Linked DNA regions of Saccharomyces cerevisiae S288C. Each later gene encodes a partner of the first gene's protein in a complex. Each region holds a gene or a part of one and is shown on either strand. Other genes may lie near its edges. The genes, in order: IMG1, MRPL16, MRPL3 and MRPL9.

Region 1 (5,197 bases):
TACACAGGGCCCCCAATTGCTGAACTTGGCAATCGTGTCAATGTGGTCATCAAAGGCCCCTACGGTGATAACGTTTTCTGCAGACGCAGGTGAGGCCCAGTAGGCGTCTAAATTGAAGTTCCCCGCCGCGGCAACAAATACAATACCTTCTTCAATGGCCCCCTCCACTGCCATGTTGATTATGGGGCTCCTGAAACTCCCTAGACTTAGATTGGCCACGCATTTTTTACCCTGTGGGCGACTGACCTTTGTGCAATGTTCCACGATGAACTCCAGACCACTAAGAACGTTACTGGCCTCGCCAGACCCGTCTTTGCCCAAGACTTTGACCTCCACAAGATTGACCCTCTTTGCCGCTCCATACGTTTTGGAACCTACGAGTCCCGCCACGTGCGTTCCGTGGCCATTCTGGTCGCCAAACCCTTCTTTGGTCAAGTCAATCCCCTGGATGACTCTGTCTTCGAATTCCGGATGGTCCGCGAAGATACCCGTATCCATGATATAGGCGTTGACGTCTTGACCTTGATAGTCGTGTTCATAGTAGTAATTGAACCAGCTTTTGTAGCGGTCCTTGTCCCCAACGTCGAATGGGAGTTGGTAGTGGCGGGAAATCCGGGCCAAGTGACGGGGTGCGTCTGGTTGATACGTTATATTTTGCTCTTCCTCGACGTCTTCGTACGAGTATTTGGCGGTAGCGTTAAACGTATAACTCGACTCGGCGCTATTTACACTGTCGCCTTCAAAAGCTTCGAACCTGAAGTTGGGCACAATATCAGCCACCAGTGGGCTTTTCTTCAGCTTGTTCACTAAGTTCTTGGACAGGTTCATGGTCACGCCGCGGAAGGATCCGATGGAGAATTTCTTCTCAATTTTGTTGTCGATGAACTGTCTCCATGACCTGTTGGAATTCGAAGTGAATTGTTGGAATGCTGTGGGATTTTTGAACCTCACCAAATACTCCTCTGCGTATGCGAGGTTGACCAGCAAAGAGATGAGTATGCACTGTGGCTTCATGACCAGTGTTTTTTTGCTGTTTTTCTTGGCGGATGTTAGAGGATGTCTAGCACTTGAGTATACCTCTATATGCTGTGTAAAATAGAAAATAAAAAAGCCAATGAGAACAATATTTTGTGTCGTTTTTTTTATTTTCGCTTCAATTCTCTATACACGTACGTCATCACTACGGGAAACCAAAAAAAAAAAAAAGAAAACAGTACAAAAAGGTTTACTTTACCCATAGTTAGTATACGTAGATTTTATACACGCACTATTTTTCTTATATACAGGAGATGGGTGGCCACAGAACCCGCGCCTAGCCTATTTCTTTCTTCTTAGACCTGCCTCGAGGTCGCCGACATCCAACCTTGTACCTCTGATGTAGTAGTGTTTGTTTCTTTGTCTGCTCGAGACGTGGGGGGTTAGCAAGTCGATTCTCTCGATCAGCGGCGAAAACAATGGCACTCTAATCTCGACGGCCGTCTTGGCTATCTGGTTCCGCAACAGCAACGAGGCGTCTTGCACCAGTTGTTTGCGGTCTATGGAAAGGATGTAGCCAACAAAGGTGTCGTACGAGCACTTGGACGAGTCGTACACAATCCGGACCACGTCGCCTGCCTTCAAGCGGTCCTTGTTCTTTTTACTGATGAGCTTCCTCTTAACGGCCCCGGGATCCAGAGACTCTATTTCTGAGAGGGCCACCTGCTTCATAATCTGCGACGAAGCTATGCGCTGCACAGGTGGGTACACGGGGATGGTTTTTCTCTTGGTGGCGGGGACCATGTAGGACCTTGTCCATGATCCAAGCAATCTGACGTTCCTGCTCCACATCGCTATGGTTCTCTCTCCCTTTCAGCAGCTGCTCAGAGGGAAGACTCGATTCTTCTTCTTCTTCTTTACTGGGAGTTCCAAAGCACCAAAATTGAAAACCAAGAAAAAAAGGAAAATACATCACTACATAAAAGTGCGCGGAGCCATTGACCACTCACATACAGATATAAGTGTATATATACAAGTATACATATACAAGTATACATGTAGAAGGAGACAGAGACAGAGGGAAATGTATAAGTGTGTATTTTTATAGTATACAAAAGAATATGCGTGTGAGGATGTGTGTTTCTTCTAGAACCTGTGTCTTCTTTTCCTCCCGGTGAACTTGGAGTCCTTCGCAACTTTCCTCCCACGTCTTTTCATGAGCTCCTTCTTTCTTAGAATGAAACTCTTGGCAGACTCCTTGTCTTTGCCTCCCTTCAAGCGCTGGCGCAGTTGTTTCTTCAAGTTGACGTTCTCCTCGTCCATGGTCACACCGTCCAAATTCACCTGCTCCTCCCCCTGCGGTGGGGCCCCACTGCTCAACACAAGGTAGTACTTCTTATTCTTTTTAGACTCTGGGTCGTCCACCACAAGCCCGCCACTGAACCCTGCCACCTTGGCAGACTGCAGTATGTCGTCCACCTGGTCGTCGTTTTTCGGGTAGAACTGGGCCACAAATTTCCCTCCCTTCTTCAGTGCAGCATACAATGTGTTGAAAAACCTCATCAACCGCTGTTTAGGATCGTTGTATGAAGTGTCCGCATTGCACAGCCATTGGATCGCACTGATACTAATAGCCGCGTCAAACGAGCCCGCCCGGAACGGTATCCCGGTGCCCATATCCTGCAACATCAAGTCGCCCTCCAGCTCTCTACTAAGACCGGTCGCAAGCATGCTGGGCGATATATCCAAACCACACCACACATGGTCTCCCTCCTGCGTCAAAATCTCCCCAGACAGTCCGGACCCGCACCCGATATCCAGAATGAAACTGCACGGCTGCAGATTCAAAAGCTCCAACGCCCTCAGCGTCATCTTCGCCTGGATATGCTGCACTCTGGTCGAACCCGTGTACTTGTGTGCTTCGCTATCATTATAGAAAATCTCCGGTGGTGCCAACTCCTCAGGACGTGACATTATTTCTTCTCTGATATATTTCCTGTGTTTCCGTACCGCACCTTTTTAGCACTACTTTTTTACTATGCTCTTCTTCTTCTGCTTCTTCTGCTTTTTTCCTCTTTATCACACTATGTATGTGCTGCTCATCTCTTCTTTTTATCGATAAAATTGAAAAATGTGAGATGGTGTAGAGTGAAAAAAAAAAAAAAATCTGGCTTGGCCATCAAATACCCGGCCGTGGTTGGACTCGTTTAGCGAACAATAGCACCCAGCAGACCCTGGCAACATGCGGATGATATAAGAAGGACGAGCGTGGTGGAGGAAAGGGGCGCCATTGGCACACTCACGCAGGTGGTTGTTCAGCACGGCTTGCAGCAAGAGCGCCAAAACAGATTGCAAGAATGACGGAGACTAAGGATTTGTTGCAAGACGAAGAGTTTCTTAAGATCCGCAGACTCAATTCCGCAGAAGCCAACAAACGGCATTCGGTCACGTACGATAACGTGATCCTGCCACAGGAGTCCATGGAGGTTTCGCCACGGTCGTCTACCACGTCGCTGGTGGAGCCAGTGGAGTCGACTGAAGGAGTGGAGTCGACTGAGGCGGAACGTGTGGCAGGGAAGCAGGAGCAGGAGGAGGAGTACCCTGTGGACGCCCACATGCAAAAGTACCTTTCACACCTGAAGAGCAAGTCTCGGTCGAGGTTCCACCGAAAGGATGCTAGCAAGTATGTGTCGTTTTTTGGGGACGTGAGTTTTGATCCTCGCCCCACGCTCCTGGACAGCGCCATCAACGTGCCCTTCCAGACGACTTTCAAAGGTCCGGTGCTGGAGAAACAGCTCAAAAATTTACAGTTGACAAAGACCAAGACCAAGGCCACGGTGAAGACTACGGTGAAGACTACGGAGAAAACGGACAAGGCAGATGCCCCCCCAGGAGAAAAACTGGAGTCGAACTTTTCAGGGATCTACGTGTTCGCATGGATGTTCTTGGGCTGGATAGCCATCAGGTGCTGCACAGATTACTATGCGTCGTACGGCAGTGCATGGAATAAGCTGGAAATCGTGCAGTACATGACAACGGACTTGTTCACGATCGCAATGTTGGACTTGGCAATGTTCCTGTGCACTTTCTTCGTGGTTTTCGTGCACTGGCTGGTGAAAAAGCGGATCATCAACTGGAAGTGGACTGGGTTCGTTGCAGTGAGCATCTTCGAGTTGGCTTTCATCCCCGTGACGTTCCCCATTTACGTCTACTACTTTGATTTCAACTGGGTCACGAGAATCTTCCTGTTCCTGCACTCCGTGGTGTTTGTTATGAAGAGCCACTCGTTTGCCTTTTACAACGGGTATCTTTGGGACATAAAGCAGGAACTCGAGTACTCTTCCAAACAGTTGCAAAAATACAAGGAATCTTTGTCCCCAGAGACCCGCGAGATTCTGCAAAAAAGTTGCGACTTTTGCCTTTTCGAATTGAACTACCAGACCAAGGATAACGACTTCCCCAACAACATCAGTTGCAGCAATTTCTTCATGTTCTGTTTGTTCCCCGTCCTCGTGTACCAGATCAACTACCCAAGAACGTCGCGCATCAGATGGAGGTATGTGTTGGAGAAGGTGTGCGCCATCATTGGCACCATCTTCCTCATGATGGTCACGGCACAGTTCTTCATGCACCCGGTGGCCATGCGCTGTATCCAGTTCCACAACACGCCCACCTTCGGCGGCTGGATCCCCGCCACGCAAGAGTGGTTCCACCTGCTCTTCGACATGATTCCGGGCTTCACTGTTCTGTACATGCTCACGTTTTACATGATATGGGACGCTTTATTGAATTGCGTGGCGGAGTTGACCAGGTTTGCGGACAGATATTTCTACGGCGACTGGTGGAATTGCGTTTCGTTTGAAGAGTTTAGCAGAATCTGGAACGTCCCCGTTCACAAATTTTTACTAAGACACGTGTACCACAGCTCCATGGGCGCATTGCATTTGAGCAAGAGCCAAGCTACATTATTTACTTTTTTCTTGAGTGCCGTGTTCCACGAAATGGCCATGTTCGCCATTTTCAGAAGGGTTAGAGGATATCTGTTCATGTTCCAACTGTCGCAGTTTGTGTGGACTGCTTTGAGCAACACCAAGTTTCTACGGGCAAGACCGCAGTTGTCCAACGTTGTCTTTTCGTTTGGTGTCTGTTCAGGGCCCAGTATCATTATGACGTTGTACCTGACCTTATGAACTGCCACCATACCACGTGTGTCCCTCGCAAG
Region 2 (5,495 bases), on another chromosome or scaffold:
CTTTAAAGGAAAACGAGGAATTCAGTGGTGCAGACTACACTTTAATCTCAATTGACCAAAGTGAGTCCTCAAGTAAGACGAATATTATTTTTCTTTCACGACTCAATTGAATTCCTAATAACACTTTTGTTTGCTGTATTAGCTTTTAGCTTTGAGAGCGATGAAGCAAGAGAGAAAAATAAGGGTAGAAAAAAAAATTAGAAATTGAGGAGGGGAAGGTATTCTAACCTGGTGAATTCCCAGATACATAAGTATAAGAATTTCTCGGCAGAGATTATATACAATAAAGAATAAGGTTCAGTTGGACGATTGCGATAGTAGCGTGAATAACAATTTACTTTAATCAATCGTTAGGATACTTCTAATGGGCTTTTTTAACAATAATCCGGTAATTGAATTCTTCCACAGAATAACGAGAAAACCCAGTACCATTGCGATGTGGGTGTTTGCTGGTCTGATTTGTTCAAGTACATTTTATTTAATGTTCATGTCATCACCTACAATCGACTTCAACTCGAAGAGTAAGAAAAAAAATGATAAATAATCTCCCTGTTCAGTACTTTGGTAAAAGCACGCCATGGAAAATTATTTAGAACTTCCTTATACAAAACTAAATATTTGAGCATATTCTATATTCATACATAGATACATTCTTTGAATTTCAAGACTCTTATTTCTCATTTTGAAAGCCAAGATTGGAGGAAAAATCGTAAATTTTTATCCAGTCAGTAACAACTGTTGGCCAGTCGAAAACTCTATCGAAACAGCTTCTATATGTCAGATAAGATAGATTTATTAAATTAAATATATTCAGGAGAGGAAAGACAACATGAACGAAAAAAAAAAAACAGTGTAGAGAAGCACTACAAATATTTTCTCTTCCAAAAAATATAATATACATAAAAAAATTAGAAATTTATCTTTGTTAATGCAGTAGACTTTTAATTCTAAAATTTTGATTTAAAAGTTGAATTTGTTTTCGCCGGCCTCAAGATCGTACTTACCTTCAATGACATCTTGAAGGATACCAGCGGAAGCAGCAACTAAACCCAAAAATGGTTTGGATGGATCTAAGACCTTTGATGTGTATTCTGGGTGATATTGAGTAGCAATATAGTATGGGTGATTCTTTAATTCCAAAATCTCACAACGCTTTCCAGTGTCGTCCTTACCTACAAAGATCAACCCGTTGTTTTCCAATTCATCAACCATCTTTGGATTGATTTCGTAACGGTGACGGTGTCTTTCATGGACTTCGGAGACGTCACCGTATAACTTCTTGATTTGACTCCATTCAGTTTCATTTTGGAAAAATGTTGGTCTCAAACCTAATCTCATTGAGCCCCCCATGGTTTCCTTGTCAATTTCAGGCATGAAAACGACAACGTGATTTTTTTCATCAATGTCTGGATAAAATTCTGCCGAATGACTGTCTTTTCTTCCCAACACACTACGTGTAAATTCAATGGTGGCAATTTGTAAACCCAGGCAAACCCCTAAGAATGGAATGTGATTTTCACGAGCCCATCTAGCAGCCAAAACCATACCTTCAGTACCTCTAACACCAAAACCACCGGGGATTAAGATACCGTCTGCGGTACTGACCATGTTCCATGCTTCATGAAATTTAGTTTTGTTGCTTTCTTGTGCTTCAGGTTCCAAATCAGTAGCTTCCACCCATTTAATGTCTAACTTACGACGACACTTCATGGATGAATGTTCCAATGCTTTTATCACTGATAGATAAGAATCTTTCAAGTTGGTGTATTTCCCAACCAAAGCAATCTTCACTGTTTCCATGGATTCATCGAAGTTACCTGTTGTGGCCTTCCATTTAGACAATAATTCCAGGCCTCTTTGTTTTTCTTCTTCTGTAAGTGATATTTCATCTAACTTTAATCTGGCGTGTAAGTAATCAATCATCTTTTGTTCCAGTAGCAACAATGGGACGTGATAAGTAGAATTAACATCGTGAACGTTAACCACCTGTTCAGGCCCCACATGACAAAACATGGCAATCTTATCGATTGTTGGTTTATCCAAAGTTTCACTACATCTACAGGCGATCATATCTGGAACTAAACCAAGAGACCTCAAACCTTTGATGGCAGCTTGAGTTGGCTTAGTTTTTTGTTCACCGTGGATGACAGGAACTAGAGAAACGTGTATCAAGGCAAAATTTTCCTTTCCAACTTTAAATTGGAATTGTCTTAGTGCCTCCACAAAAGGAGCACTTTCAATGTCACCAACTGTCCCACCCAATTCAATGATACAAACATCTGGTTCCATACCGGTGTCATCTACAGGAATTTTGGCCACGCGCTCAATCCAATCTTGGATAGCGTTGGTCAAATGAGGGACAATTTGCACGGTTTTGCCTAAATAGTCACCTTTTCTTTCCTTAGCAATAACGTGCGAGTATATTTTACCAGTAGTAATGTTATGATCTTTAGTCAAAGTAACTCCAAGGTATCTCTCGTAGTTACCCAAGTCCAAATCTGTTTCACCACCGTCGTCAAGCACGAAACATTCACCATGTTCCAAAGGAGACATAGTACCTGCATCAATGTTCATATAAGGGTCAATTTTAATTGACGTAACCTTTAAACCGAGGGTTTTCATTAGCATACCAGTTGAAGATGCAAGAACACCTTTACCGATACCCGAAATGACACCACCTGAAACAACAACGTACTTCATTTTCTGTCTATAAGTTTCTTTTGTTCTATTGACCAATTCACTGAGAAACTGCCTGAAACTTTTTCGACCTTAGAATGGCAGAAAAATGGCAAATACTGTAAAATACTTAACATTTAACTAAATTTTATTCTATGCTTTTCCTCTCGATGAGATGAGCTGTGAAAAATTTTGAAAAAAAAAAAAAAAAAAAAAAAAAAAAAAATTTGTTATCACCAATAACGAGAAACCTAACTCTAAAACTTAGGGTCAAAGAACAGAACCCTAGGCTTTGTATCCAGTTGAATCACTAATTACGAAAGAATGCTGGTGGAAATAATAATATCATATTGGTGCTCAAATAACAAGAAGACTTCTTTGGAAGAAATTATTACCAATTAACAGTCCACTTGTAGAGCGTACATATTGCCGGGAAGTTGATTACCTTTCACCAGAGGTACAGAGGAATAGAATTTTGCAACATGTTCCCCTATTTAACAAGAATGAATTTATCCATAAAGATGGGAGGGCTAACTTTAAAAGAAAGTTCCCCCAATGCTTTTTTAAATAACACCACTATTGCTAGGAGATTCAAGCATGAATATGCCCCACGTTTCAAAATCGTACAGAAAAAGCAAAAAGGTAGAGTGCCAGTTCGTACAGGTGGTTCAATAAAGGGATCCACTTTGCAATTTGGTAAGTACGGATTACGACTGAAAAGCGAAGGTATTAGGATATCCGCGCAACAGCTGAAGGAAGCAGATAACGCAATTATGAGATATGTCAGGCCTTTAAACAATGGTCATTTGTGGAGGCGTTTGTGTACAAACGTTGCTGTATGTATCAAGGGTAACGAAACAAGAATGGGTAAAGGTAAAGGTGGGTTTGACCACTGGATGGTGAGGGTACCCACAGGGAAGATCCTTTTCGAAATAAATGGTGATGATTTGCATGAAAAAGTCGCACGGGAAGCCTTCAGAAAAGCAGGCACCAAGTTACCTGGGGTATATGAATTTGTATCCTTGGATTCTCTGGTTAGAGTTGGATTACATAGTTTCAAAAATCCTAAAGACGACCCAGTGAAGAATTTTTACGATGAAAATGCAAAGAAGCCATCAAAGAAGTATTTGAATATTTTAAAGTCTCAAGAACCACAGTACAAACTCTTCAGAGGACGTTGAACGGATTGAACACACCATGTATACATGTATATAACTATTGAAAAATATCGATATTCACAATCAAGTAATCTAGCCATGGCTATGAGTTTATTAATTCTAGTATGCACTGTATACTCTCTGCGGAAGAATAGGAGTTTTTCCCCGGAGTGAGCGCTGAAGAAACACATGACGACGTGAAAAAACACTTGTTTGATCCAGCTGAGGTATAAACACTGAGAAATATTTGAGGGTCAAAGAAGCACTAGGAACGTTACAGTTGGAATTTGCTAGTCAATCGAGTTTCCAATTTCGCAACCTTTATTATAGTACTAATCTTATAAGCCATGGATCGCAAAAAAACACTTATAAACTCAAGTGTTTCTAATAATAACAGTACCATCAAGGGCCTACAGTTATTCATTGCAGATCTTCGTTCTGCACAACAAGCACAAGAGCAGGAAAAGAGAATACAATCTGAAATTGTCAAAATTAAACAGCATTTCGATGCTGCAAAGAAAAAACAAGGCAATCACGACAGATTAGGTGGCTATCAAAGAAAGAAGTACGTTGCCAAGCTAGCCTATATATATATTACTTCTAATACGACAAAACTAAATGAAATTTTATTCGGGTTGGAGCAAACGGTAGAGCTGTTGAAGTCCAGCATATTTTCTGAAAAATTCATTGGATATATGACCCTTGAGTTGCTTTATGAACGTAGTGAAGTTGTTGCCAAAGTTAACGATGAGGTGAATTATCAACTGATGAAAGATCTCTCTTCTTCCGATGATAATTTCGTAATGTTGGCGCTGAATTTTGTTGGTGTAGTAGGAGAACTTACGAACCGTCTAGCGTACAACGATGATATCACAACAGGAGTATTCAAGATATTAAGATCACCGACCTCCTCCATTTATCTCAAGAAAAAATCAGCATTGTCATTTCTAGCACTATTGAAAAGTAATCATTCTATACTGACCGAAGATTTACAACGTAAGCAACTATGGATACAAAGGATATTAAGCTTATTGGATGATACGGAAAACTATAGGTTAACTTTAGCTACGATTCCGTTAATAGAATTCATTGCAAAATACATTGATCCCAGTTACTGTACGAGACTATTACCACAGCTAACAGAAATTTTGTACAATTGTGTTGTTGTTGGTACTTCAAGATCTAGTGACAATCAGTTTCCGTTAGAATATACGTTCGCGAATATGCCAAATCCTTGGCTTATCACAAAAGTTGTCTCTTTGTTGAGCATATTGATTGCCTCACCAACTGAGAGGGATTCTGGCTCATTACTACAAACCAACAACATAGATAATGAATTACTAAATAAACTTCGAAAGTGTGTTTCCGTTGCCATCGAATTAGGAACCAGACAAGCTCAAGATCCCATGGAACGTATCGTCCAAAACACAGTATTGTTTTCATTGATCAATTTCGCCTCTAAGCTAGATCCGTCGGATGAAGCTATCAGCAATTCTGTGACAGCCTTATGTTCCCTGCTAACATCTAAGGAAATTAATATTCGGTATTTAACGCTAGATTCATTGGTCAAATTATGCTCATCAAGCGGGAAACCTGCAATTGATGCCGTTCGTTACAAGAATTTGGATATGATTTTTCATCTTTTGAACACAGAAAGAGATT
Region 3 (6,019 bases), on another chromosome or scaffold:
ATCTACAATGAATAAACATAAGTCGCTCTGTACACTTTTCTTCTTTGCTCTATCTATACCCAGCATTTCTATCTTGTCAGAACTCTTTTCTCTTATACCTGCCGTATCACAGATAATAACCTTATAGCCATTCACGTTTATCATTGCATCAATAGAATCCCTAGTAGTGCCAGGTATATCACTGACAATTGATATATCATCGTTAGTCAAGCTGTTAACTAATGATGACTTACCGACATTGGGAGCACCAAGTAATACCAGCTTTATTCCATTTTGCAGTATGGTAGACTTTTCGACTTTTTGCATGAAAGTAACGATTTGGTCTCGCAGACATATGATGTTCTTTTCTACATTATGGAAAATCTCATCCGTATTCTGAATTTCTTGGCTATTATCGTCGGCAAAATCTATTATAGCAGTCAACTGTGCCATATTCTCGATAATGGTTTCCCTCCAGTTCTCAAATAGGATTTTGTTATCCCCATTGAAACTTGACAAGGCAGATCTCCTTTGAGATTCTGTTTCCGAATCAATAAGATCTTTGATACCTTCAAGTTGGGTAAGGTCAAACTTTCCATTTTGAAACGCCCTCCTGGAGAAGTCGCCAGGCAAGGCAAATCTTATATCTTTACCACTGCTTCTATCGTGTAACGAGCCGATAGCTTTCAGTATACTATTAACTACGGCTTTCCCGCCGTGAACGTGCAGCTCTAACACATCCTCACCAGTAAATGAATAAGGAGCTTGGAAATATAGCAACAACGATGTGTCTAATAATATTTTACTTTCCTTTTGATCATGAGGTTTCACACTACAAGAGGACGGCGAATAAATGTTCCTCAAAATAGCCTTCCTGATCGGCGGAACTGTACTTGAATCAACTAGTCGATTGTAAATGTACTTAGCATGGGTACCAGATATTCTTATGATTGCTATCGCAGAGGTTTGATTTGCTGGTGTAGATAATGCATATATGGTTGGTTGCTGGAAGGTATAAGGCTTTGCAAGTCCGGAGTACCTCTTTAACGACCTTCTTACGAGAAAGGATCTCGAAATAAGCCGTGATTGTAAGAAAGATGCACTATTCATAAATAGAATACTTATTAACCATATATAACATTCTCTAAGTAGATAGCAGTCGTATGGAATATTGCTGTATCTTCATGTAACCTCGTAAAAGACGTTATATATGGGTTAGTTAGCCAAAAAAATAAAAAATGGACGAGTCCGGAATCGAACCGGAGACCTCTCCCATGCTAAGGGAGCGCGCTACCGACTACGCCACACGCCCGATTTGTATTGAAGACTTTGAAGAAGTATAGAAAACATAAATGTAGGATACATTTTTAAACTTTTATTAATGAAACCAATTTGAAGACATGTGGCAACCCGTGTTACTCATATATATATATATATATATATACAACTATCAGAAGATTATCAATCTAATAGATCTTTAACGCCGCCTCAGTACTTTCTGAACTGCAAGTAGAATATTTTTTTCTGGAATCGGCACATTCACATTCAGACGTATACGATGTCAGCACTTAGATTGCTACTATAGCAACTCATTTATTATTAATCCCCATTCGTTCCGATATGGATGGCATATTATTACCTTTAAGAAAGGTGGAGTTCCAAAGATTCATCAATTTTACTGTTTATAGAAAACGTTACGGAAAGATGAAAAGTAAACACCAAGGTCTCTTATGCCTTGACATAAAGAATACGGAATAGAATGATTGTAGACGCAACAAGATGAATAATTAATGGCAAATTATTATCCTATTAGATATAAATTACAGTCGCTTTAATGCGTGATTATAGAAAAGGTCCTTACAATATGCAGCCGGGTAAAGAGTGAAGTTTCCCGCCTCTGAAAAAGAGCAATACTAAAATAATCTGAAAAGAATTGGTGAAAAGAAAGCTGTAGTTATATATACAGAATGGGCATAGTTTTGAAAAGAGCAATAGCAGCAGGTATGAAACCTTTTCCAAACAGTACGTGGCATTGGAGCCGAACCATAAGACCTTTCTCACAGCATTTGTCTAGCACATGCTTTCTGCAGCAATCCTCGAGATTTACTTCAAAACGATACCTACACCTTTCAACATTAACACAACAAGAAAAGCGCTTCCTACCCGAATCTGAACTTGCTAAATATAAGGAATACTACCAGGGTTTGAAGAGCACTGTAAATGAAATACCTGAATCAGTGGCCTCTAAGTCACCTTCGTTAAGAACGCTTCATAAGAGATTACAATTACCTAATGAGTTGACCTATTCAACACTTTCCAGATGCTTAACGTGTCCCTCTGCAAAACTACCCGACAAGATAAATAATCCTACAAAAGGTGCAGCTTTCGTTAATACTGTACCTACTAATAAATACTTGGACAACCACGGTTTAAACATCATGGGAAAGAACTTGCTCTCTTACCACGTTACAAAATCCATTATACAGAAATATCCGAGACTACCCACTGTGGTTTTGAATGCTGCGGTTAACGCATATATATCAGAGGCGGTACTGGCGCACATTGCTAAATACTGGGGTATTGAAGTAGAAACTACGTCTGTTTTATCACGCTATTTGAAAATGGAACCATTCGAATTCACTTTGGGAAGACTCAAATTCTTTAATAATTCATTGAACTCTAAGGACGGTATTGAGCTAATCACCGGAAAGAACTTTTCAGAAACAAGCGCTCTTGCAATGAGCGTGAGGAGTATAATAGCTGCCATCTGGGCAGTAACGGAGCAAAAAGATTCTCAAGCTGTTTACAGATTTATTGATGATCATATAATGAGCAGGAAATTGGATATCACGAAAATGTTCCAGTTTGAACAACCTACAAGAGAATTGGCTATGCTATGTCGTAGAGAGGGGCTGGAGAAACCTGTATCGAAACTGGTCGCTGAGTCTGGTAGACTATCGAAATCACCTGTCTTTATTGTGCATGTATTTTCAGGCGAAGAGACATTAGGTGAAGGTTATGGTTCCTCATTAAAGGAGGCAAAAGCAAGAGCCGCTACTGATGCTTTGATGAAATGGTATTGCTACGAGCCTCTTGCTCAACAGGAACCAGTTATTGATCCTGGCACTGTTGTTGTTTAGTTCTGTGTTTGCCATTTTGTAGATAGAGAACTCCTTAACCAGAATACATTCTTGTACATATATATATACACGTTGGTACGATATGCGTTTACTTTATGTGTACTAAAATATATAAAAGTGAACAGAAGCATGTTCCTTGTTTACTACTATATCTTACCAGGAAACAGACAAAAAAAAAAAAGACTTGCTATATTTAAAGAGAACGCACATTTGTGAGGGGATAATAACACAAAGCAAAGTAATATAGGGTAAATGGACCTCCTAAAATTCAGTTCTCTAGCTATATCAGAAATTAACTTCCTGCACGAGTCATCGTTTGACTCGATAGACCACTCTTGGTTTTTATTGATAGGTTGCAAATTGGATCAAGATGATGAAATTTACATCCCAATAAATGGTAATGAAGCAGAGTCTCAATGGTATATTGAAAAAGTTATACGAATCCCGATGCAGGAAAATGATAAAATAAATCAAGAACGCCTAGAAAGGAGAATTAACCTAACAAAAGTGACTCAAAAGGACATTTGTATACTGGGTATTCTTGATTTATGTCAGTTAGAAGAGGACGAAAATATCACTAATAAAGTGACGGAGAAAGTGCTCACCCAATTGACCGCCTTGGCATTGAAATATCTGATAAAATATAACGTGTTTCGCCAACATACCTCCTTCCAAGAAGCTGTCAATAGTTTAAAGGGTTATAAAATTGAAAATAGTGTACAGATAGGCGCGGAAATTATCCTTGATTTTCTACAAGATAAAGTGCAAATTAAGGATGTAAATGACAGATACCAAATTCCCACACCTAATAATACCGTAGACCCAGGTTTTGATGAGTTTCAATTAATTGACATGAAGGATAAAGAAATCAATATTCAAAAATATAATAATAATACCATAAGAAAATTACTCGAGAAGATTAATCGAATGATAATATTCTTGAAAAATTATGATGCCACTGACAAGCCTTTCTCTTCCACGCAAGATGTAATACTTCGAAAAATATCAATGCTTGTAACACAACTGCAAAGAGGTGGAACAAGTGACATGAATTACCTGCTGGATAACAAAATTAATGAAATAAAATTATTAGAAATTTCGTGTAAACAATGGGAAATTTCAAATATGTTAAAAAAATAACTAGAATATATATATTACACAGAATTATTTTCTTCACTTCCTCCGTCATCAGATTAGTAGCTTCCTAATACCTGTCACAACTTCCCATTTATTCGTGTGTTTGTTGTATGTACAACCCAGCAGCTTTTTATTGGTAACGGGACAATGGCCTTCATTATTAACCAAATAGCTTATGGCACACGGGTAGCATGCCACGTATCCTGTTTCCAATACACAGGGGTTTTGTACAGTTTTTTCGCAAACGGGACAGGCCTCAGAAACTCCCTCTTTATCTTCCGTTTTGTCACTATGTGAGGAGAAAGGCGGCCTTGGAATATCTTCATCCAAGTCATTGACCCTTTTCTGCAATTTAGTAGTCATGTCTTGTGTGGTCCACCATTGGTACACTCTTAGGACAAATATAAAAGTGGGGAAGAATTGCGAACCCATAAATGTTAAAAATCTGGGTATAATCGATAATTGTCCTTGCATTAGCGCGAAAATTGACGATATATTTGTTTTCCTTAGCCTATTATCCATCCCTTTCGTCTCTTTGAGACCAGAGAGTTCTGACGATAGTGGTCTTACCGTTGTGTACTCTATCTTGAATAAGTATTGCAACAAGGAAACCGACCCTGTTCTTTTAGTTAAAAATAATAATTTAACGAGTAAATTGGATAACGCTAATAATTTCTTAATAAATGGATAAATTCTTAGAAACGCTCTCTTGGGCCATTTATTTTCAGTTTCATCGCTGCTGAATATATTATTCATTGATATTTTCTCTAATATTTCATCCAACTTCGCTGTGATATAGGGGAGAATAATTTTTTCCAAAAAAATAACACTCTTTTGCTGTTGATTCAGCTGCAAACCTTGGGGCCATTCACTCTGGCCCTTTGGATTTAAACATTGTGTTAAGGCAAGATTTCTGTCCCTCGAACTAAATAGTTGCAATCCATAAAACCGATCAATAAACGTAGAATTGTATGTCTTTAGATGATACCATTCAACAAACCCTTTTATCGCTTGAAACCACTCAAAAAAGTACTTGTTCAGCCGCAAAGTATACCTGTTAGGGAAGTTCGCCACTAAATGATTTGCCAGTAGATAACGGATGGATGCGGGCAGTAACGAATCGATTTCTTGTGATGACATTATCTCAAAGATAGTCGGATACAATGGTTCTAATCCCACCCCATTTCGACCGCTTGTTGAAGACCCTCGACTAGATTGTCCTGCAGACGGTAGGTTTGAATAAAAGCTCATCACTTGACGACTACCTTCCTTTCCTTTGCTTTATTTTCCCTGCTTATTCCCTTGCTTCTTCTGGAGCCTTCATGCAAAACCGTTTCTCTACCTAATGTGATTCTGCGGTAAGCATTGCTCTTAAGCATCTGAATGAGACGAAAGGATGACTCCACACTAAATTGTACCTCTCTTCTCCAGTGACTGAATTGGAGGTTACCATTGCCAGTGACGGTAATCGTCCACATCGATGATTTCTTAGTATAACCCACACACCTCTCAGACATAGAGGCCCCAGGTGCAACGTGATAGTATAACTGCCCGGAAGTAGAAATACAACTATTCCCTTCATATTAAAAGAATAAAACTTCATTTGAACTCTTTAAAATTTAGTGGTTCATTGTGGTCCTTGTGTAAACGGAAAAAAAGGATATTACGGTAGTGGGTAGTACATAACAAGAGATGACTATCCCTGGAAGATTTATGACAATTGATAAGGGCACTTTTGGTGAATACACTGCTAGCACCCGTTG
Region 4 (5,537 bases), on another chromosome or scaffold:
TCAAAAGACAACTGCTGACCTACAGCCGCAACAGGTCCATACATTTTACAAGGCTTGTGGTATTATTATTTCTGAAGAAAGAAGCGTAGCGGAGAGAAATAGATTATTAAGTGATTTGATGCAACTGCCAAATATGGCTTGGGACACTATAGTGGAACAATCCACTGCTAACCCAACATTGTTGTTAGATTCTGAAACTGTCAAAATTATTGCGAATATTATAAAAACCAATGTAGCTGTCTGCACCTCAATGGGAGCAGATTTCTATCCACAGTTGGGTCACATCTATTACAATATGCTTCAGCTATACAGAGCTGTTTCTTCGATGATTTCTGCTCAAGTTGCCGCAGAAGGTCTAATTGCTACGAAGACACCAAAGGTTCGTGGTTTGAGAACCATCAAAAAAGAGATTCTGAAGCTTGTTGAGACCTATATATCCAAGGCGAGAAATTTGGATGATGTCGTTAAAGTGTTAGTTGAGCCATTATTGAACGCTGTACTTGAAGACTATATGAACAACGTTCCTGATGCAAGGGACGCCGAAGTGCTAAATTGTATGACAACAGTAGTAGAAAAGGTTGGTCATATGATCCCACAAGGTGTTATTTTAATTTTACAGAGTGTATTTGAATGCACTTTGGACATGATTAACAAAGACTTCACAGAATATCCAGAGCATCGTGTAGAATTTTACAAGTTATTGAAGGTCATCAATGAGAAATCATTTGCTGCATTTTTGGAACTACCTCCGGCTGCCTTTAAATTGTTTGTTGACGCTATTTGTTGGGCGTTCAAACATAACAATAGAGATGTCGAAGTTAATGGTCTACAGATTGCATTAGACCTAGTGAAAAACATTGAAAGAATGGGAAATGTCCCATTTGCAAATGAGTTCCACAAGAATTATTTTTTCATTTTTGTCAGTGAAACGTTTTTTGTTTTAACCGATTCCGACCACAAATCCGGTTTTTCTAAGCAAGCTTTGTTACTAATGAAGTTGATTTCTTTGGTTTATGATAACAAGATTTCGGTACCATTATATCAAGAAGCTGAGGTACCACAAGGAACTTCAAATCAAGTCTACTTAAGCCAATATTTGGCTAATATGTTAAGTAATGCATTCCCCCATTTAACATCCGAACAAATCGCAAGTTTTCTCTCTGCATTAACTAAACAATACAAAGACTTAGTGGTCTTCAAAGGCACTTTGAGGGACTTTTTGGTGCAAATCAAAGAAGTCGGAGGTGATCCAACAGATTATTTGTTTGCTGAAGATAAAGAGAATGCATTAATGGAACAGAATAGACTAGAGAGGGAAAAAGCTGCCAAGATTGGTGGGTTATTAAAACCTTCCGAACTTGATGATTAGAGGCGGTGGCGTATCATTCTTTAAATTTCCAATATTTTTTCCCTTTTATTAACTAGTCTCTAATTTATAACCACGGGGTTTTCATTTCTTTTTCACTTCATATTGTATGTAAATTGGTTCTTCAAAGTTCCAATACTCTAATATAGTACTAAATACTATTTAGCCAACTTCATGGAAAAGTAAAGAATATTATTTGAAGATTCTTAAGTGATTACCCATTTTATTGTTATTATTGATGTATGTACATGATTGTAGTAAAATACTTATACGCCTTATGCTCAAGTTTTTTTGATTGCATCTTGAATTTTAACGAAACTGTTTTTGGGCCCAGCCACAGAGCCTTTAACCCAAATAACATTATTTTCATCGTCGACTTTCAAAACTTTAACATTTTGGATAGTAACATGCTCGTTTCCCATATGACCAGGCATCTTTCTTCCTGGCAGTACCCTACCTGGGTCTTGGTTTTGACCATAAGAACCACCGTGTCTATGCATAATAGATGTACCATGAGATGCTCTCAAACCCTTGAATCCATACCTTTTCATCACACCAGTAAAACCTTTGCCTTTGCTGACTGATCTGACGTCAACATATTGGCCTTCTTTGAAAAAAGAGGGTTTCAATAATGTGCCAGGTGGTATTAATCCCTTTTCATCTTTAACTCGGAATTCGGCCACATGCTCTTTTGGGTTAACAACTTTAGAAGCGAAATGACCAAGCATTTGTCTGCTAACTTTAGACAAATGCCTTGATCCGTACCCTACTTGACACGCGAAGTACCCATTGACCTCCGAAGTTCTATGCATTATTACTTCAACATTATTAACTTCTAATATAGTAGCGGCGCTTCTTTCACCAGTAGATTTATCAAAATAAGGCATCATTCCCTTCTTACGAGTAATTAAACCGCATCTTTTTGGTAGCCATTTTCTCGCATTTGCCAGTTCAGGTGAGTGATTAATCGCTGGAGCCTCGGTTGTTATACTGTTAGCAATACTAGGAGCCACTAGAAAAGGCCGAGTAGAAGAATATCTAACATGAAGTTTTGATATGCTAAATATTGATCCCTGTAGGAACTTCGACATGGCTATATTTGTTCTCTCTTGCTTTCAAAGAGTTGCCCTTTCTCGTCCCAGTTGTCAATTTATCGTCCATATATTTTTCAATAAAGTTCGTTTGACAAGGGATTACCCGAAAACAAATATCTCGCGACTGTAATAGGAGAAATGGCATTAGCATTTCAATTAAGGAAAGAAGAGGATCATCGAGAAACGAATTTATGGTGCTTATTTACTGTTACAACATTTCATGATTTTGAATTTTATTTATACATGTACATTCTCGTACGGTGTTATTTCGTAATTATGGGATGTGCCCAGTTGCTTCCTTAAGTCTTCCGTAGAAGCTTTAAAAGGTAAGATTTCCCCCACACTAGGAGGCTGCAAGATGTCAGTGTCATCCAATAACCCACTAACACGGAAATTTATTGCATTTGACAACGTTGACGGCGGTTGTGATAAAGAAGATGATGTTGTAGTGGATGAGTTACCAGGGAGATATTGGGCCTTTATTAAATTTCTTAAAGATCCTGCAGGCTTATAGCGAGGTTTCATAGAAAGTTCTGATGGGTTGGTCATAACAACACTTTGTCTAAGCTGATATGGAAGGGGCGTACAAAATTGCTTTGTCAAAGATGTTGACGGTATTTTCGTAGGCGAACTGTAAAACATTTCAGGATGATCCATTGGATTCAACGCTGTCCCATTAAGCCTAGCTGTAGGTACATGTTTTAGTGTTTTTGGAGGTTTAGGCCTTCCTTTGAATGACGTCAAGGAATGCGAAGAGGTGGAATAAATGAATTGGGTAGGCGTGGGCAAATCTCCGATGTTCTCATAATTTTGAGGATGTTCTAACGGGAGGGGATAATTATAGTAGTAATTGTCATCATTGCTCTGGTTGCAGTGATCTATAAAATATGTAGAATATTGCTGAGCAGAAGTAAGATTTGACTGACCCGAACCCTCCGAAAGGGCCCGTACGGGAGCCTTTGCAGAGTGAATATGGTCCTTAGCGACCGTGTCAGAATATATTGATGAGGTAATTCTCGTTGAAAGACCATTCGGTGGTGGGAATGTAAGAGATAGAGACGATTCGGGAATCACTTTTTCTCTGGTTGCTACTTCTGAATATACTGACGATGCAATGTTTTTATTCTCTTGTGGTGCCGGCACTTGCAGATAATCAGTTGCATCTTCATATTCCTCATTGGCGCTGGAACTGGAATCAATTTCTTGGACAGTTGTACTTCCGAAGTGACTCTGTTCAATTAATGTAGTATCATTTGGATTGTCTTGAGAGCTCATATTTACACTTTTTCTTGTAGCGATGTTTAATTTAGAGTCACGCCGTATCGAAGAAGTTACAGAGGATCGTATCGTGCTATTACTTTTCTCAAAATAAATGTTATAAATGCTTCTTATTCTGTCAATATTTTCTTCCTCCTCTCTCGAACACTGAGGCTCGAGCCCGCTACGACTCGTATAATTCGATTTAAGTCGATTATCGTTGTTATGGCTGGACTTTTCATTTACATCAGGATTTGACGTACTATCACATCTTTGATCACAGTCTTGCCCAGTATTTGAGTGTTGTGGTGAAACAATCAGCTCAGAATTCTCTAACGATTCGAAAGAAATCTTATTCGAAAGGTCAATGTGCTTGGAGGGGACCGATAACTTGCTGTTATTCTGCGAAGCCAGTGAAGCAATATTATAAGCGGAGGGTGCATGCTCATTGATACGCCTCACATAATCTTTGAAAGATTGTGAGTTTTCGATTGACGGTTGCAAAAAATCGTCATAACCACCATAAATAAACCTCTTTTCTGTGGCATTGCTGTCTGAGTTTGCAGAATTCATAGAAGAATCCATCTTCGGTAAATAGTATAAATCGCCCTCAAAATTTGGGTCAAAATCCTGCATAGAAGGTTCTTTTTTGCATCTCCTATATACTACTATTAAAACGACGGATAGTACTATAATAATAGCACCAATGGGAACAGCAACGGCCACTGCAACAGTGACGTTAGATGAATCGGTTCTTTTCTGAAGAAATGTCAGTGATACGCGAGATTTGTCTGGTATAGCCTCTCTTTTTTGGCAAGAATTTTCTTTATAGCGGTAGTGACTAAACATGGACGCTTTATAGCATCTAAAGTAGGGGAAGCACTATTTCTCACTTGCAGTTACTATGAAGTATATTTCGATCGCACAAGTTGCTTTACTATGCTATTGCAGCCTAAGATAAAGGCAACAACCGATGAAACAAGAGTAAAGGGTATACTCTTTTATGCAAATGCTCCTTTACGCGACTGGTCATTATTGAACATCGAACACTTTCGAATAGTTTAGTCTCAAATGTATCGAACGCGAAACTTTAAAAGCGCATTCTTGTTCTTTTTTCGCGACTTGCTCCTGTGATCGTCTTATTTCTGCTCCATATTATCTATTCTTTACTTAAAGCTTCCTAAAAATGCAGTCAGGATAAAAGCAAATGCTTCAATGGAGTTAATATATATACCGAAACAAGAAAATGAGTTCTATATATTTGTTCCATGGACTCATGAATCAAATTTGTAGAAAAATAAAATAGAAAAGATAAACGCCCTCCTTACTCATTGAGAAAAAGGGCAGAAAAGTTCCAAAAAATATGGCAAGCCCACAGTAACGGACAGCTTTACCTGTTTCTATGGAGACAACACCCGGATGGTTCTGGTAAAAGGCAAGAACCATGTTCGTTATAAGTTCTATAGGCAATAAAAGGCCCACAGTTCTTGATGTTGACCTCCCTCCGCCATTGATCTGTAAAGCTGCTTGCAGGTTTTAAAACAAAAAGAAAGAAAAGTATTTTAAAATATATAGGAGGAAAGAAACATTTAACAAAAAGTCTTACTATGCGCTTTTTATACTGAGCACTCCGTTTCTACAAAATTTTCAATTTTTTTTTTCATATTCGTTAATCGTGATGAGAATACTAACACCACGAACTCAAATAGGAAGTTAACAATTTAGGGTAGGAGTGCCAGACTCTACCCATTATCCCTTTGTCATCGATGTAAAGCAGATATGAAGGCTTCTAGTAAAGCTATTAAATTAGTACTGGACCA

The links.
Region 2: IMG1 (region 1) and MRPL16 share a complex: the UniProt entries of both Saccharomyces cerevisiae proteins name them as parts of the mitochondrial large ribosomal subunit.
Region 3: IMG1 (region 1) and MRPL3 share a complex: the UniProt entries of both Saccharomyces cerevisiae proteins name them as parts of the mitochondrial large ribosomal subunit.
Region 4: IMG1 (region 1) and MRPL9 share a complex: the UniProt entries of both Saccharomyces cerevisiae proteins name them as parts of the mitochondrial large ribosomal subunit.

Annotation. Positions count from the first base shown.
Region 1 is NC_001135.5:208,597-213,793, forward strand, and holds IMG1 (mitochondrial 54S ribosomal protein bL19m IMG1), read right to left. Parts: upstream 1,828-5,197; coding exon 1,318-1,827; downstream 1-1,317. Other genes in the region: RRT12 (Rrt12p), read right to left, coding at 1-1,014; BUD23 (18S rRNA (guanine1575-N7)-methyltransferase), read right to left, coding at 2,122-2,949; ARE1 (sterol acyltransferase), read left to right, coding at 3,333-5,165; YCR050C (uncharacterized protein), read right to left, coding at 4,868-5,176. UniProt on the Saccharomyces cerevisiae protein: Component of the mitochondrial ribosome (mitoribosome), a dedicated translation machinery responsible for the synthesis of mitochondrial genome-encoded proteins, including at least some of the essential transmembrane subunits of the mitochondrial respiratory chain.
Region 2 is NC_001134.8:143,029-148,523, forward strand, and holds MRPL16 (mitochondrial 54S ribosomal protein uL16m MRPL16), read left to right. Parts: upstream 1-3,158; coding exon 3,159-3,857; downstream 3,858-5,495. Other genes in the region: MIN6 (Min6p), read left to right, coding at 365-544; CTP synthase URA7, read right to left, coding at 961-2,700; APL3 (Apl3p), read left to right, coding at 4,181-5,495. UniProt on the Saccharomyces cerevisiae protein: Component of the mitochondrial ribosome (mitoribosome), a dedicated translation machinery responsible for the synthesis of mitochondrial genome-encoded proteins, including at least some of the essential transmembrane subunits of the mitochondrial respiratory chain.
Region 3 is NC_001145.3:319,929-325,947, forward strand, and holds MRPL3 (mitochondrial 54S ribosomal protein mL44 MRPL3), read left to right. Parts: upstream 1-1,946; coding exon 1,947-3,119; downstream 3,120-6,019. Other genes in the region: MSS1 (Mss1p), read right to left, coding at 1-1,089; CSI1 (Csi1p), read left to right, coding at 3,372-4,259; PEX12 (ubiquitin-protein ligase peroxin 12), read right to left, coding at 4,308-5,507; YMR027W (putative methyltransferase), read left to right, coding at 5,949-6,019. UniProt on the Saccharomyces cerevisiae protein: Component of the mitochondrial ribosome (mitoribosome), a dedicated translation machinery responsible for the synthesis of mitochondrial genome-encoded proteins, including at least some of the essential transmembrane subunits of the mitochondrial respiratory chain.
Region 4 is NC_001139.9:934,427-939,963, forward strand, and holds MRPL9 (mitochondrial 54S ribosomal protein uL3m MRPL9), read right to left. Parts: upstream 2,458-5,537; coding exon 1,648-2,457; downstream 1-1,647. Other genes in the region: exportin CRM1, read left to right, coding at 1-1,369; TOS2 (Tos2p), read right to left, coding at 2,698-4,566; PET54 (Pet54p), read left to right, coding at 5,497-5,537. UniProt on the Saccharomyces cerevisiae protein: Component of the mitochondrial ribosome (mitoribosome), a dedicated translation machinery responsible for the synthesis of mitochondrial genome-encoded proteins, including at least some of the essential transmembrane subunits of the mitochondrial respiratory chain.